4 linked regions of the Nothobranchius furzeri genome follow. The protein of the gene in region 3 interacts with the protein of the main gene of each other region in a pairwise test. Links are inferred from orthologs where the notes say so. Each region holds a gene or a part of one and is shown on either strand. Other genes may lie near its edges.

Region 1 (4,119 bases), on a different chromosome or scaffold from region 3:
CCTTGAAATGTTTAATTATAAGTTCAGCAAACTCAAAAAGATGTTCATAAAGCCTATTATTATCACGGTAATATAATTTGTTCCCTTTTGGTTTAAAAATCAATGCAAATCTAAGCCTTTGCATCATGTAAAGGTTTCATATTTGCACATAACGCTACAGAAAGATGTCAGAGCATTTAGCATGTCAGGAAATCTGCCATTAAAGGCACTTTTTGTGTCTGAATTTGATCTTATTAACTCTTTCACTTCCCCACAGAGAAAAGAACACACAACATTTGTAATTTTTCCCAAGTTAAAACAACAGAGGTAAAATTATAATAGCAAAATGATATTAATCTAATTCTAATCAATCAATCAATCAATCGATTTTATTTGTAGAGCACCTTCTGCAACTTTATCAGAAGCCAAATGTGCTGAACAGCATCATCATAAAAACATTCCCAGTACCTGGGCATAAAAGCAAGATAAAAACATAAAATCATAAAATAACAAGCAAGCAATATCACAAATACAGAGAGATAATGGAATAAGATTAATCAATTAAAAACAAATGGTGGACAAAATAAGATCAATCATCCTGATCAAAAAGAGGAAGTATTAAAAACCATAATGTCAGGGCATTTCAATGAACCCTAGCGCTGAAAAGCAATCAAATAAAAATGAGTCTTTAGACAAGACTTAAAGACTTGAAGGGACGGTGCCTGCCTGATGCTCAATGGCAATTCATTCCACAGAGTTGGAGCCAAAACAGAAAATACACGATAACCCCTCGATCGATATTTCGACTGGGGGACCACCAGACGTCCCTGCTCGGCTGAGCAAAGAGACCGAGATGGAGCATACTTGTGCAAAAGTGCAGTAATGTAAGAGGGGGCACTGCTCTGGAGAGCCTTATAAGCAAGAGTTAAGATATTAAATTTAGCTCGATATTCCACCGGGAGCCAGTTTAGAGTAACCAGCACTGGAGTAATGTGATCTCGGCATCTAGTACCTGTCAGGAACCTAGCCACTGAGTTCTGTACAAATTGGAGCCGTGCAACCATGCACTGGGCCAGACCAGCATACAGAGCGTTACGGTAGTCCAGACGGGACAGGACGAAAGCATGCAACACAGACTCCAGATGAGCTCTGGACAGCAGAGGCCTGATCCTGGATAGTCATTTCAGATAAAAAAAAATAAAACAGTACCTCACCACCGCATTTATGTGAATGTCAAGATTAAGTGAGGAGTCAATTTTTATCCCCAAATTACTGGCTATTTTCTTTTCATAGGGGGTCAGTGGGCCAAGGTCAAAATCAGCACCTGAGCCATTTCTTCTGCCAGGACTAAGATTATGACTTCCGTTTTGCTCTCATTTAATGTAAGGTAATGCTTCACTTTGTGTTCAAGTATTCCCTTTCATATGCATTTATGTATTATTTATAGTCTTTTTTTACATGTTCTGATAACAAACAAAGATAGCCAACAGTGCTTTACCCAAAAAGTATTTTCATGGCAACTTTATTGCAAGACCTGCTCCAAATAGCTTTTTTGTAATATTGTAAAAACTGCTGATATAAGATGATGTATTTACACCTTCACTGCAGCTACAGCTACTAAATTCCCATTTCCTTTTGTGCTGAAACAGCATAAATCATTTAAAACACCTAAATATTTGTGATGCCTGTCTTTCAGAGATGACATATTGTTTTCTTTAAAAAATAAAACTGATAAAGTGAAGCATAAGCACATCCTGTGCAAGAATCTCCCCGTTTTGACACTTTAATCTAAGAGACAAAACTATGGCGCGGTATGGGGGCCAAAATTAAGACTACTGCCCAGCAGCAGGAGGCTATATAAATTTCGAAGCAAACTACCGACCTGATTAATGATAAGCTGGCACCGGTAACTGAGAGGCTGGCGCTGCTTACTGAGAAATAGCACCTTTACTGGCGTTATTACTAGATACGCTACGGACTAGCAGCCCTCGGCTGGTCATTGACTGGTTCAAACACTCCTTTAGCGTGCCTAGGCTGGCCACTAGCTGGATTCCCTATCCCCTTGACGGACCTTAAGCATGGATAGGCTAGCTTTGCCTGGATAGGCTGGCATTAGCATCAGAGAGGCTAGCCATCAGCATGTCTCAGAGAGTCACTAGTCAGCTAGTGGCCAGCCTAGGCACGCTAATGGCTAGTCTCTCCGATGCTAACACCATCCCGTCCAGGCAAAGCTAGCATATCCATGCTAATAGACAGCAGAGGGGGTGTGTGAACCAGTCAATGACCATACCATACCATACCATATTTATTTATAAAGCACCATTTCAAAATAGCATGGCAGCTAACCAAAGTGCTGTACATAAAAAAGCCAAATGCTTGAACTAGAAGCACAATGCGAACTGGGAAAATACATAAGAACAAAGCATAAATAGTCAGAGATAAAAATTCCTGCTAAAAACAATAAAATAGGAGAACAGTTAACAGCACTATAAAAATAAAATAATGCAACGAATAATAAAAACATTTCAAATGGCACAAATAAAACAAAATAAAATACCAGATGGTACGAGGTGCCAAAAGTGAGCAACTAAATCATAAAAATGGAATTAAAAACTCAAATCCGGTGCTAGATTGTCATGAAAAGTGTCAAGGAGCAAAGGCAATGCTAAAGAAGTGCGTTTTCGGGGCCGACTTGAAACTGCGAACAGAGGGAGCCAGACACACACGGAGGGGCAAAGAGTTCCAGAGTTTTGGGGCTGCATAAGAGAAGGCACACACCTAGGCTAGCGGCACATGATTTGAGATTGAGTGGGAGAGTTGAGACATCAAAAGCACCATTCATGTTAGTGGGGCTAAAAAGTATGGCATCTGATTTGATGTCATTTAACCGTAGGCAGTTTTGAGAAAGCCAGGATCTGACCTGCGAGAGGCATTCTGACATTATAGAAAATGAGTGCTGTTGGTTGATTTGAAGGTAGATCTGGCAATCATCTGCATAAAAGTGGTAGTTAACCCAGAGACTTGCTAAAATCTTACCAAGTGGTAGTATGTAAATTGAAAAGAGGACAGGACCCAGGATGGAGCCCTGTGGTACTCCCCATGGAAGTGGGACATTGGGAGAAGGGCAGTCTCCAACATGAACACTAAAACACCGAACATTAAGGTACGACTTAAACCATTTGAGGGCAGTACTGGTCACACCCACCCAAAATTCAAGTCAGTGAAGTAGGATGGTGAGGTCTACAGTGCTGAATGCTGCAGTCAGGTGGAGTCAGGTGGAGTAAGAGTAACAGCACATGGGAGCCAGAGTCAGTTAGAATCAGGCTGTCATTGAATGCCCTAATGTGTGCAGATTCTGTGCTTTAATTACGTCTAAAACCTGATTGGAATGGGTCAAGAAGCCCATTGTCATCTAGGTGAGAACAAAGCTGCGTGAGAGCCAGTTTCTCAACTACTTTTGAGATGAATGGAAGTTTTGAGATTGGGCGATAATTGGCACAGTCAGACTGGTCAAGGCCTGGTTTCTTCAATAGCGGCTGAACAACTGCATTTTTAAAAGCAGCTGGAAACACACCAGAGGAGAAGCTGGAATTTACAATATCCAGAACAGCAGGGGCCACTGCTGGAAGGACATCGCGCAGCAGTCTTGGAGGAAGGCTATCCTCTGGAGAGCCTGAGGGCTTCATAGCCAAGATTAGATCAACCAGGGAAGAGGGTGTCACATGAGCAAAGCAAGAGAATTAGGGTGGACAGTGAGGTTCCACACAGGTAACCCAGCCTGAGTAAGAGAAACTGGTTCTAATTTCCTGAATTTTATGCAGGAAAAAGTTTTGAATCTCATTGCAAAGAGCCCCTGTAGAGGGAGAAGAGTTGGGAGATTCTCTAAGGAATGGTACAGAGGTGAGGACACTGTATAGTTTCTTCTGGTCGTTTTTATTCCTAGTGATTATATTTGCAAAATATCTGTTTCTAGCTGTGCGGACAGCTTTCTGATAGCAGGTCAAAGAATCCTTGAATAATTGGTAGGAGATTTGCAGCTTGTCCTTCCGCCACCGGCGTTCGCAGACCCTACATTGGCGTCTTAGGGCACAAGTGTCCTCAGTGAGCCAAGGGTCTGCTACAGTTTTTTTGTGCCTGGAT
Region 2 (4,281 bases), on a different chromosome or scaffold from region 3:
GTTTATCTTCAACATGTAGCTTCTCCTCATGAAAAATTCTTAGCCGATCTATGTTCTAAGTTTGTTTTATTTCTCAAGGAAACTGAAAAGACGGAACTTTCTTCTACATTTAATTTGTTAAATGATTGAGAAAAGCAAAAGGAAGCATCTTGATGTTTTTTTTTATTTACTCATGTTTTCGTGGAACAGGTGCCATAACAGAGGAAACACTTTTAACCCAAACATATCTGAAGAATGAGGATAAGAAAACAGAAGAGGAAAATCTGACCTAGAGTCAGCGGTTCCCAGTTTTATTTAATCAACAAATTGTTCCTGACACGTGACTTTCATGAATGAGCTAAACTACAACAATCAAAATAAAAACCAAGAGTGATTTTTATTCTCTGCAGCTCCATGTTCTAATCTGATAGTGATGTTTTGTTTGTTTGTGTCCCTTCCTGACCCCTCTTTAGATAAGATGCTGCCTGTTCCTGTCTGGATCCATCTACGACTCCCCCTTCAGCACTGCTGCCAGCTCCCCGCTCTCCTTCAGCTCCTTGACTATGTCCAAGCCTCCGATCAGCTCCCCTTTCACATACAGCTGGGGATAAGTGGGCCAGTTGGAGTAAGTCTTGAGCCCCTGACGGACCTCTTCATCCTGCAGGATATCAAAGGTGTCATAGTCCACCCCAGAGGCGTTTAAAATCTCCAGGATCTGCCTGCTGAAGCCGCACTTTGCAGCCTCCTTGTTGCCCTTCATGAACAGCATTACTGGACTCTGGTTGATGATGGTCTTCAGACGGTGATCCAAGTTCACGGCCTTGGGGCAGGCGTTCTCCAGCTCCCCTGACTCCGCCAGCTCCTTCACGATGTCCAGTCCCCCCACTAGCTCCCCGTTCACGTACAGCTGCGGGTATGTGGGCCAGTTGGAGTAGGTCTTCAGGCCCTGCCGGACCTCTTCATCGGACAGGATGTCGAAACTGCTGAACTGGATGCTGTGCTCCTTCAGCAGCGCCACTATCTGCCGGCTGAAGCCGCAGCGGGGCTCCTGTGGGGCGCCCTTCATGAACAGCATGCAGGGGGCCGCGTTAATCAGCTTCTTTAGCCGCTGGTTCAGGTCCTCTCCTCCCGATGACTCATTCGGGCTCCCGGCCACCGCCAACCTTTGAACCATCTTGGTCAACTCCGCCGCATGCGCCCCGTCCAGTCGGTCCACTTTCTCTCCCGCCTTAAAGAAAACGACCGTTGGCACCGAGGAGATTTCATACTTCTCCGAAACCTCCGGGAGCGTCTCCGCTTCTAGCTTCACGAACGTGGTGTGCGCGTGCTCCTTGGCCAGCACGGTCATCACCTCGTTCATCTGGCCGCACTGAGGAGCCCATGGAGCGTAGAAGTGGACCACGGTCAGTCGTTTTCCAGCTTTAGAGAGGATATCCTCAAACTGTTGTTGACTTGTCGCTTCCACGAGATTCGCCATCTTTTCTTCTCCTTGAGCTTTTTCCGCTGCCGATCTGACGTCACTTCCGTGTAGCCTAGTAGCACGAACCGGAGGTAAGAACTACCGGAAAGTTTTCTGTTACCGGGAGATAAAAACCAGCTGCGCGTCCCGGATAAGTTGCAACGACAAAGTAAGCATTAAATGAAACATCGTTTTGTAAATCCAACTTTCCAAATGTTTTTCTTTTCTTGTTACGCTCAGTTGCTTTAGCACGAGCTTAGCCATTTGACCAGTTAGCCGTATATATGCCGATGGTTGAAACTCAGATATTTCCAGGTTTATTGGCTCTTAGTAGTAACTCACTACTGCTAAACGTTAGACGTGTTGTTTGTTTAGTCGGGATTAAAATGCAAGAGGAATTTAGTGCAAGAGCTACGTTGTTCTGGTGTCTAGTTGTCGGGATGTAGCTTCGGTTGCTAAGGGGCTACCGTTAGCCTTTTAGGTTGTTGGTAAACATCTGTACATGACTTAAAATATTAATTGAACAGACTGTAAAACAAATTTCTGTATTCACATGTGAATTTTTCTAACTTTATGCTCAGCTTGTAATATTTTAGTGACGCAACAAAAACTCTCCGTAAAATTTTTAAAATGGGGTGTTTTTTAGCCTAGAAATCCAGACCAACCGTAGCAGTAGGGAGAAGTCTCATCCCTTTCCGGTCAGCTCATGGGTTCCCGGAAAAACGAAAAAATGAATGCAACTCAATGCGGCTAAAAGAGCTATTTTCTAATCCGCTTTGCCTTAGGCCCAGTGTCACACATATGTTGCACTGCAATTTAAACGAAAACTAATAATGGGTGTTTGGACCATGCAAGTGACATACTTTGAGATTTATCAGCTTGTAAAAGTTTGTAATTAGCATAACTACAAATTAGACATCAGCACGTCACATACAGTATATGACGTTACCACAGAATCTCTTCTCATCTAGAATAGCTGCTATTTACAAAATGGCCAGATTTATGGTGTTTTTTTTTCCTCCCGAAGGAAGGATTTTAAGTTGGCTAAACTTACAGCCATTTCTGTTTTTCTCCGTGGCTGGTTTGATGACGTCACTTTCGTGAAGCGCATTGTAAATGATAAATGACCCGCACTTGTATAGCACCTCTCAGAGTATGGACTCCAAAGCGCTTTACACTACAGTGTATCATTCATCCATTCACACACATTCACACAATGATGGTGATGAGCTACAATGTAGCCACAGCTGCCCTGGGGGGGGGGGGGGGGTTTGCACTGACAGAGGCGAGGCTGCCAAGCACAGGCGTCACCGGTCCTTCTGACCACCACCAGCAGGCAAGGTGGGTTAAGTGTCTTGCCCAAGGAATTCTCTGTTGGAGCCGGGATCGAACCTGCAACCTTCCGATTACTGGACAACCCACTCAACCTGTGGAGCTACTGCTGCCCCAATACTGTAGTCCTTATTTTCACACAAAACCTAAGTTTTTTATTTAAAGTTTATTATATTTCTTAGCTCATTTGAACAGTACGACTGGTAGAACATTGCTTGCATTTTGCAAAGAAATCACATTAAATATTTAAAAACATATATTCTTAATGAAATAAAAGTATGTAAATGTCAGAGGTCACCACCAAACCCACTGTAGAATAGATGCAAATCTGCAGCATGCAAGGACCATGTTTGAGGGGGTGGGGTGATTTTAGTTGTCACCTTTTTCTCAGCTTCTGAGTTTGCAGGTATGAGAAAATAGATGCAACTAATACAATTATTTTTTGTTCTTCTATACCAGCTATTTGCTTGTGTTTTTGTACCATGTGGCTTTACGTACCATTGCTACAGCTTTGCTATCCCAGATGTGGCATAACCTGCCAGTTGATTAAGTGAAAAACAAAGCAATGCAGTATTTCAAAACAATGAGTGTTTAACAGTTGATTAGTTCATTGCGATAATTTTTATATTTAGAAGGTCTTAAAAAGTCTTAAATTTAATTTTGAGATCCCTGCAAGATCAACTGTCACATCTTAGGAACAATTGACCCTGTTCCAGTTCCTACATTACCACCCACCCTGAGCTCCCTCAATACTGTTTCATACTCCGAGCTGAGTAAGCCAGTTGCGAGGCAGAAGCCATCTGGCTCTCCACTTGATGTTCTACCGCCTCGTCTCTGGAAGGCTGCCTTTCCGTGCCTTGGCCCTTCACTTGGTCAGATTATCAATGGGAGCCTCAGCACAGGTGTGGTCCCAGCTGCTTTGAAAGCAGCAGTTATTCGGCCGACCCTGAAGAAACCTGGTGCTGATGTCTCTGTGATAGAAAATTACAGGCCTATCTCTACCCTGCCCTTTACATCTAAACTGCTTGAGAAAGTCGTTTATCAGCAGCTGGTCTCACATTTAGCTGACTCTGATCTGTTTGAGGTTTTCCAATCAGGGTTCAGGTCTGGCCATAGCACAGAGTCTGCTCTACTGAGGGTCCTAAATGACATCTATCTATCACTAGATCAGGGAACATCTGTGCTGCTTCTGTTATTAGACCTGACAGCAGCCTTCGACACAGTTGACCACGCGATTCTACTCGATCGCTTGGAACGATGGGTTGGGATCAAAGGGTCAGCTCTGGACTGGTTTAGATCGTATCTCCAAAACAGGACATTCTGTGTTAAACTGGGTGATGTTTTTTCTTCTTGGGAGGGGCTCCGGTGGGGGGTCCCGCAGGGGTCGATCCTTGGTCCACTTTTGTTTGCCATTTATCTGCTACCTCTGGGGTCAATCTTTCGTAAACATGGCCTATCATTCCATCTGTATGCTGACGATTGCCAGATTTACTCTCCATTGTGTCAGGAGA
Region 3 (3,970 bases):
TTTTTCCATTCAATATCTGTTACAAAATTAGCCCAATAAGATATGGTCGATGGAACAGAAGTCATTGTATCCTGAAAGAGAGTTCTTATTTTGTTATTCACCAACGAGAGGAAAAACAAACACTGCCAAGAGAAGAATGTAACACATCCGGGCGACTGACTGATAGTGGAGCGCTGTGGGAGCATCTGAACAACATGGACAGACCGGATGGGATGGCATCAAACACTATTGAGAATTCTCTGGGCGTTATTGGTATATTGTATTTCCTAAGGAATTCAGAGTAATTGTATAAGAGCCCCTTTTCATCAAATAACTGGCTAACCAAGATGGTTCCATTATTAAACCAGTTATTTAAAAAATTGTTTTATTTTTATAAATAATATTGCAGTTATTCCAAATAAAACAGTTTTGCGGGGAGGAGTTGTGTTTGTAAATCAGTGCCCACGCCAAAAGAATTTGTTGATGGAAGTGAGAAAGTTTTAGTGGTATTTTTGGAATACTGTAACTGCAGAGCAGTAGGAAGTTAAGACCACCTGAATTAGAAAACACATGATGTGAGATAAAATTCCAGATAGAAGTGGGATTTTTTGAATACTTTTAAATCCAGTTTATTTTAAAGGTGTCGTTAAGAGCACCGAAATCAATAAAGCTTAAACCTCCTTTATCATATGGATTTAAAGCTACTGATTTACGTAAGTAGTGGGTTTTATTTTTCCATAAGAAATTGTATAACAATTTGCTAATTGATTTACAAGTTGTATTATCAACGTGTAGTGACTGTGCAGCATAGGTTAGACGGGAGATACCCACAGCTTTTGAAATCAGAACTCTTCCTTTTGATAGGTCTCGCTGTAGCCAACAATTAAAGATCTTTTGGGTTTTGTCTATAATAGGAGTAAAGTTCTTGGAGCATCTGGATTGCTCATTTTTTATTATTTGAATTCCAAGGTATCTTACAGAGTTTTTTTTACAGGTATTCCATGGATTGAAGTTGCAGAACAATTTTTAACTGGTAGCAGTTCACATTTATGTAGGTTGAGTGAAAGTCCGGATGATTTAGAGAATAACTTTATTGATGGCCAGGCATTATTGATCCTGGACCGACACCGGGCGGGCGGTGCGCCTTTAAGGCGGGGCGGAGTTGCCGGAGAGGAGGCCCGCCCTCTCGCCGTAGGAGGGCTCTCTCTGACAGGAAGAAGAGGGTTAGTGACTGGCAGTGGGTTTCTACGAAAGCCGGGTTGCGTCTTCTCTATCTGGTCCTTCACTAACCTCCGGATATATGGCTAAAAAGGGCATGAACCTGTGTAACGTGTGCTGCTTGCTTCTTTATGTCGCCACGGCGGTGCTCGCCGGGTAAGTGAGAGCTGCGATGAGCAGCTGGTACACATGTTCCTCTGTGATTGGTCTAACCGTCCTCCATGTGTGGAGCTGACTGACGCTCTCAACTAACTACTTAAGCGGCATTTAGTCGTTTACCATCAAAGCGATATATTCGCCATTACCAACCCGTATGACTCTAACTGGCCTCTTTTAAGCTAGTTTGATTAGTTAGCTGTAGGCTAACAGGAGTGAGACCGAACCGGCTTCTCCCGGTGTGTAGCTAGCTGCTGTCAGTCGGGACAAACTCTTAAACTAGCAGCTTTGTTTATAATGTCTACATGTCTGTGATACTGAACATGCTGCTATGTTTTTTTTTCTCTCCATCTGATCTAGTCGAGATTTCTATAAGATTTTGGGGGTGAGCAAGACGGCATCAATAAGAGACATTAAGAAGGCCTACAGGAAGCTGGCTCTGCAGCTGCACCCCGACAGGAACCAGGACGACCCCAAAGCTCAGGACAAATTTGCGGATTTAGGAGCAGCTTATGAGGTGGGCCAGAGTCGGTTGTAATGTCTGATGTCAGTGACATGACAAGAGGGGCGCAGCGAGCCCGTCTCGGCTGTAAACATGTCATAGTCACACAATAACAGGGATATTGGAGATCTTACACTGGATCCCCAGAAGTGCCGGTGGGCTCCATTGTGAGACTTTTGTAAGCTTTGCTACTTGGTTGTTGTTGGAAACGCTACGAGCTCGGTGATTGGTCGACTGGACCGTGTGGCTGCTTCTGATTGGCTGGAGCATGGCGGAAAGGCATACGTGGAAAAGTGGGGGTGGCGTTCTGAAAGGGTTTTGCAGGTGTTTCCGGCGCAAGGTTTTATTTCCAAATTGACTGTTTTCACCTTTTTTAGCTTTCAGACGTGTTCTGATTTATGAGTGTAAAAATCCCAATTCAGTAATATCTTTGCAGCCTGGGAAATGAATCTATAACGGGTTTGTCCTAATTATTTCATCTGTCATCTTAATAACGGTGACCATTTTTCAGTTTTTTCTTAAATTGTTTAATTTAATACACAAAATGTTTTAAACTCTAAGTGTGACAGTGGTGACTGAACACTAGGGAACTTTGAAAGATTACCAATAAATGCCCCACACGTTGTATGAAGAAAGTGTGTGTGTGTGTGTGTGTGTGTGTGTGTGTGTGTGTGTGTGTGTGTGTGTGTGTGTGTGTGTGTGTGTGTGTGTGTGTGTGTGTGTGTGTGTGTGTGTAGGTCCTCTCAGATGAAGAAAAGAGGAAACAGTATGATATGTATGGAGAAGACGGACTCAAGGAAGGCCACCATAGCTCTCACAATGACATCTTCTCCAGGTTAGTGTTGGTTTGGGTGTCTTGTTGTTATCTTGTTTGGTAGAACAATAAAGATACAAGAACTGACCTTGGTAACTTACAAGCAGCAAACTGTTTAAAATGAAGATTATTTTCTGTACAAATAAAACGATAATCTGCGTAAACCCAGAACTACCTGGAGAGATCACATCGCCAGGCTGCCCAGGGAACACCTTGGGGTCCCACTGGCTACGGTGTTGGAGGACAGACATCCTGGAGCTGCTACCCTCTCAACACAGACCTGAAAAGGCAGACAAATACTAACAAGCATTATTTATAATATTTAGATTAATGGTCACAGTGACTTGTGTCTGTATTGAGAGAACTCTAGAAGTAGATCTTCATTGAAAACATATCTTCAGATACATTTCCAACACCTGAGGGTTCATGTAGGAAACCCAGCACTCCTGAAAGACAAGCCCAGCATGTTCTAAAGCTTACATTTTACCTGGAAACTGGACAAGATGCTTTTGTTTTGGGGGATTCTCTGTCATCTGGGACATACAGATCAGGGCGCTGTGCCAGAAAGCAAGCTAATCCCCAAAACCAGGTGTTCTTTAGAAAATCCTGGCACTGCCTGGTTTTAAAACCACTCAGGATCAGAGGACACATAGGAGGGCACCCACAACACCCATGTTCAGAAGGGAAGTTGTCTTTTTAACTCTTGATCAAAGACACCTGATGTGCATCGGCCTTCCCTTAGTGACTTCACCTAACCCTTTCTCTCATTTCTCATTAAATTATTAGAATTTTAGTAAAAATGTTGAAGGCATACTTCAGACCAAACCTGATGGGAGTATAGGCCGCCCATCCATGCAGGTAGCAATCCGATGAAGCAGCTCCAGATGGGAGACATCGGTACCTCAAGCATATTCGACTGGATAAGTTCAGAACCGTGACCGCCAAAGGTAGCGCAGCTGGAGGTCCCTGCGTTCAAAGCCAAACACCCGAACAAGAAAAGATTACGAAGTTCGTAGAAAAAAACCGCAGTACGACCAGGTCGGTCCAGAGTCGTCTCCCTGATCACAACAGGTAGTTGTTTGCGTCTATGGAACGATGGACTCTGAAGGAGTCTTGGCTGTGTCAGCTTTGTTCCGAAGGAGCAAGGTTCTGTGTCGCTGCAGCGTGCAACAGGTTTGACAGCTTGTCAAGAGATGCGGTGGTTAGGGAGTTTTCCTCCGGTGGCCAGTCCGGAGTTCGGCTCAAAAACTAACTGAATCACTCAGCAAGTGATTCTGTTTTAACAATTTCCATATTATGAT
Region 4 (4,071 bases), on a different chromosome or scaffold from region 3:
CAGTTTCTGATGCTACCTTCTTGTTGTAGCTGTGCAAGGAAAAGTGCTAAATATGTGTCTGATATCAACTCTGGTCCTGTCAACAGTGAATTCAGGTTAAACCACTGCAAAGGAAACAGAGAATTTTAGTGAATCAAGCTGCTATAAGACAAGTATGACTAGGTAAGTGAGTGAGTGCCACACACCTGTTGTCCAAGTTTGCGTATAGTAAACCAGTGCTCCTTATAATTGCAAATGAAGGCTTTCTCATTTCTGAAACACAAAGTAAGCATCAGCTTAAAGAAATGAGAGATCAGGATCTTCTATCATAATGTTTCCACATTAAAACCTTACACTGGGTTTATCATTAGGCTCTGGTACTCTCGACTATTAAAGAGGAGTAGCTCCAAGCCCCAGACTCGAAGAGCATTGCTAATCACCTTGAAAATATTGAAACAAGAGTGATATTACAGAAGAGGACATGGATTTTAGAAGCAATAAAAAGATAATTGTAAACTCACTTGTATTGAAAAGAACCCACTATCATCCATGTTCCCAGAGGGTTGCTTTAAACACATTTTCGAAAGAAAAACATGAATAAAATTACATTTTTGATAACATTTTGTACCAATATGTACCCTCTGTCTCATAACACCTGTAAAAAGGTCCTGTACTCCTCACTAGCCATTCCCCCCTCTGCCATCCTCATCCTCTCCTCTTCATCAAGCTGATGAGCGATAGAGGACAGGTCCACAGGAGTGAAATACTCGCCCTGCAGAAGGTTGTTGAGGCAGTGCTGGGCACAGAGGGAGCCCTCTTGCTGCAAACAAAGGATCAGGAATGTAACAAGCATCCAGCATCAGCTGGACTTCTGGAATAAAGATGCTCAACCAAAACAAACACATGTAGCAGCTAGCCCAACGAGGACCCAGCCAAGCAGAGAGCGATTAACTAACAAGAAAACAAAACCCCTACATGACGCCAGGAATAGTTATCATGTTAAAAATCTAACTTTTCACATTCTCTGACTAGCAAGTGAATTAGCGTATTAGCAGTTTGTACAACAACTCCATCACAAACGCCTCGATAGCGGCTACTTAACTGGTAAAACTATTCAGCAGATCGAGCACCGACACCGCTTAATCAAAAATCAGTAAATATAATCAGGTAAATTCGTGTTATAAAATGTTTAAACCTACTTTCTCATGAAATATGGAGTCCATATTCAGCTTTCTGTCAAACGTTCAACTCTCTAACCCCCGCCCCTCACTCGCCCTATCGAGAGGAGACGCCCCCTAGCGGGCGGGCGTGCGCGCGGCACAGTGCTGGACGCCTCTACTTACGGCAAATGGAATATGGCGGACAGTGAGAATTCCATGAACAGGCTGGAGCTGAGTCAGGTATGATGTTCTCTCAGCTAATTCCGTTGACAGCGCTTTCTGAGAGTTTGTGGCAAAACGACGGAGTTTAAAATAAAAAAAAAATCATGTGTAATAAGGTTTTACTGCATTATGGTAGAAGGTTGTTCTTGCCAGGCTAATAATAGTCGTAGCCGCCAAGGCTAACTAGCATTAGAGAGGCATCACGCTGTTTATTACGGATAAACCGACTTTATTTTTACTTCTTTTCGGGATAAATTTAGTCTTTTTCCATGAGAAATGATGTAAGTGTTTGTCTTTCCCCTCTGTGCTTACACATGACATTTAAAATGCTTAGCCTGAGGTCCTGAATGCCTTTTCCGTTTATTTACAGTGAAAGTAAACTAGTCTACTGTTACTGTGTTGTTATTCATATTTAGGTTTACCTGTTCAGATATTTTCGCCTCCCAAACACCAACATAATCACGCATTTTTAAACGTCCTAATGTAGTTACAGCCTTTGTGTTTTATTATTGAGAAATCCGTCTAATGTGGTTTTTGTTTTAGTTTCGTATAAAATAAATTATTTCAGTTTTATTTTCAAAACCGAAATATAATTTTTGTATAATTTTACTTGCTTCATCCAATCCATTGTATTATTTTCAAGGTGTTCAGTTGGTACACAAAAACATATTTGTTCTGATGATGCATATTTATGTAAGTGAACCTAAACAGACTCCTGGCGTGGATGTACCATACACTCACCAGTTTGTTTAGCAGGTAAACCAGTTCAGATGCTTATTAACACAAACAGCCAATCAGGTGGTAGCATTTAGACATGTGGACATGATGAAGTTTTGTCTGATTATCTGGGGAAGAAAGGGGATTTCAGTGGTAATGAATGTGGTTTTGTGCTGGTGCCAGGCAGGCTGGTCTGAGTGTTGCAGTTTTCATCATGATATTAGCAAAAGGTTGCATCTCAACTTCAGCTGCAACATTCATAAATGTTAGGTTAGACTTTGATGTTAACAACTTGAAAACATGGATCCATCTTAACGGTTCAGGCTGCTGGTGGTGATGTAATGGTCTGGGCCCGTACCTGATTATTGTTGGCGATAGTGTCCATACTTGTGTTTCCACACTGGACCCATGCTCTGACGGCTACATCCAGCAGGATAATACTACAAAGCTCTAATCATCTCAAAATGATGTTTTATTCAAGCCGCTACAGTCACTACATCTGAATCGAATTAATCACATTTTAGAAGAGGAGACTCACATCACATGTTTTCAGGTGACAGATCTGCATGAACTGCTTGATAATCCTATTATCTAAATATAGACCAACATCTTTGTATTAGGTTTCCAGTGACAAAAGGCAGTTTTGAAGCAAAGGTTTACTAAGGTGTAGGGATGTCCCGTTCCGATATCGATATCGGCCCAAAAACAATGTATCGGATTATATCGAACGGCATTAAAAATCTCTGATGTAAGCGGTCTGTTAAGGTTCACATTTTCGCAACCAACTGTTCATACTTAATGTTATTGGCTCTTGTTCTCCGATTGAGTAAAATCACTTGATCAAGCCTTTCATACATTGCACACTAGGAAATAAGTAAAAATATGTATGATTTGTGCTGATATCGTATCGGATTGATATCGGTATCGGTCAACACTGAAGACTGCAATATTGGTATTCAGAAGTGGAAAAAGTTGTATCGGGACATCCCTACTAAGGTGTACCTAATAAATTGGCTGGCAGATGTATATTTGTTGTACTAAATGTCACATGATGCGATTGAGCCTAGATTAAATAAAAATATCAGATTGTTGTGGAATTTAGATATAGTCGATTTACTTCTTTGTTTTTGCTACATACTTCTCTATGTAGTAAAAGGATGCGTATATAAGCGTTTCACTGCCAGAACTGGTTATCTTGTTTTCTATTGATTTTTTTATTCATCCCAGGAATTTACATGGTTTTCTCTCATTATATTAGTCCTATTAGGCCTATAATGGACTGGAAGGGTTCTCCCAGGAAGGATTATCCATCAGCGTTGGTATAGTCAATGCGCAATGTTTTATTACGTTTCTACAGATTCATCAGCTGTTCACTGGCTTTGCTCTTGGCTCCCTTTAGATGTTAGACACCAGAGTTCAGCCCAGTTGCCGCTGTCAGAGTAAAGATGCATGACTCATTCTTGCCTCATTACAAAAAGTTGCTGGAAACCAAAGTTTTTCACTTTGCTGCATTATTTTTGCACGTTTAATTAAATCAGTTAAGTTTAAAATTCACCTGAGACCTGCATAAAATAACTCAATGATGAGGATTTAAAAAATATATATAATGTAAATGAATACACATATTTTTATGTTAATTACAATTAAATTAATGTTGTTATTCTTAAAAATCGAAGGCACGTTCATTCAGTGACCAGATTAACAAAAACTCTCCAGTCTAAATAATTCAGATTATTTAACTGAACAGTAAGATGTTTTATTGCAGGTGTTTTTTGTTTTTTTTTTGCCAGTGGTGGTCAGATCCCACATCGTTTCCTCCTCTGTTGTCTTCTCTAAGGGATGGCTGGAAGCTGCAGACTGCAGAGCCGAACTGCTCCGCCACCTGAAGGAGCAGGTACCGCAGATCTTCTGTCTGAAGAAGGAGCCCTGCCTCCAGGAGGAAGAGGAGCTCGCCCAGAGCCGCCTCCTTTACCCTTTCGAGTGTTTCCTGTTC

The links. The genes of interacting proteins can lie anywhere in the genome.
Region 1: the proteins of dnajb11 (region 3) and ptn interact in a two-hybrid assay, tested with the Homo sapiens proteins (2 studies listed by BioGRID and IntAct). The link is inferred for Nothobranchius furzeri from reciprocal best matches to the Homo sapiens genes DNAJB11 and PTN.
Region 2: the proteins of dnajb11 (region 3) and bag6 interact in a two-hybrid assay, tested with the Homo sapiens proteins (2 studies listed by BioGRID and IntAct). The link is inferred for Nothobranchius furzeri from reciprocal best matches to the Homo sapiens genes DNAJB11 and BAG6.
Region 4: the proteins of dnajb11 (region 3) and ubr1 interact in a two-hybrid assay, tested with the Homo sapiens proteins (2 studies listed by BioGRID and IntAct). The link is inferred for Nothobranchius furzeri from reciprocal best matches to the Homo sapiens genes DNAJB11 and UBR1.

The regions. Positions count from the first base shown.
Region 1 is NC_091741.1:42,191,326-42,195,444, reverse strand, and holds the start of ptn (pleiotrophin), read left to right. Parts: upstream 1-1,319; 5' UTR 1,320-1,334; coding exon 1,335-1,366; intron 1,367-4,119.
Region 2 is NC_091745.1:60,779,857-60,784,137, forward strand, and holds the start of bag6 (large proline-rich protein BAG6), read left to right. Parts: upstream 1-1,481; 5' UTR 1,482-1,607; intron 1,608-4,281. Other genes in the region: glrx3 (glutaredoxin 3), read right to left, coding at 485-1,456. UniProt on the Homo sapiens protein: ATP-independent molecular chaperone preventing the aggregation of misfolded and hydrophobic patches-containing proteins.
Region 3 is NC_091754.1:36,589,865-36,593,834, reverse strand, and holds the start of dnajb11 (dnaJ homolog subfamily B member 11), read left to right. Parts: upstream 1-1,163; 5' UTR 1,164-1,279; coding exon 1,280-1,353; intron 1,354-1,713; coding exon 1,714-1,870; intron 1,871-2,592; coding exon 2,593-2,690; intron 2,691-3,970. UniProt on the Homo sapiens protein: As a co-chaperone for HSPA5 it is required for proper folding, trafficking or degradation of proteins.
Region 4 is NC_091758.1:31,657,468-31,661,538, forward strand, and holds the start of ubr1 (E3 ubiquitin-protein ligase UBR1), read left to right. Parts: upstream 1-1,271; 5' UTR 1,272-1,334; coding exon 1,335-1,379; intron 1,380-3,915; coding exon 3,916-4,071. Other genes in the region: atxn3 (ataxin-3), read right to left, coding at 17-104, 186-252, 334-419, 501-545, 635-799, 1,179-1,202. UniProt on the Homo sapiens protein: E3 ubiquitin-protein ligase which is a component of the N-end rule pathway. Recognizes and binds proteins bearing specific N-terminal residues that are destabilizing according to the N-end rule, leading to their ubiquitination and subsequent degradation.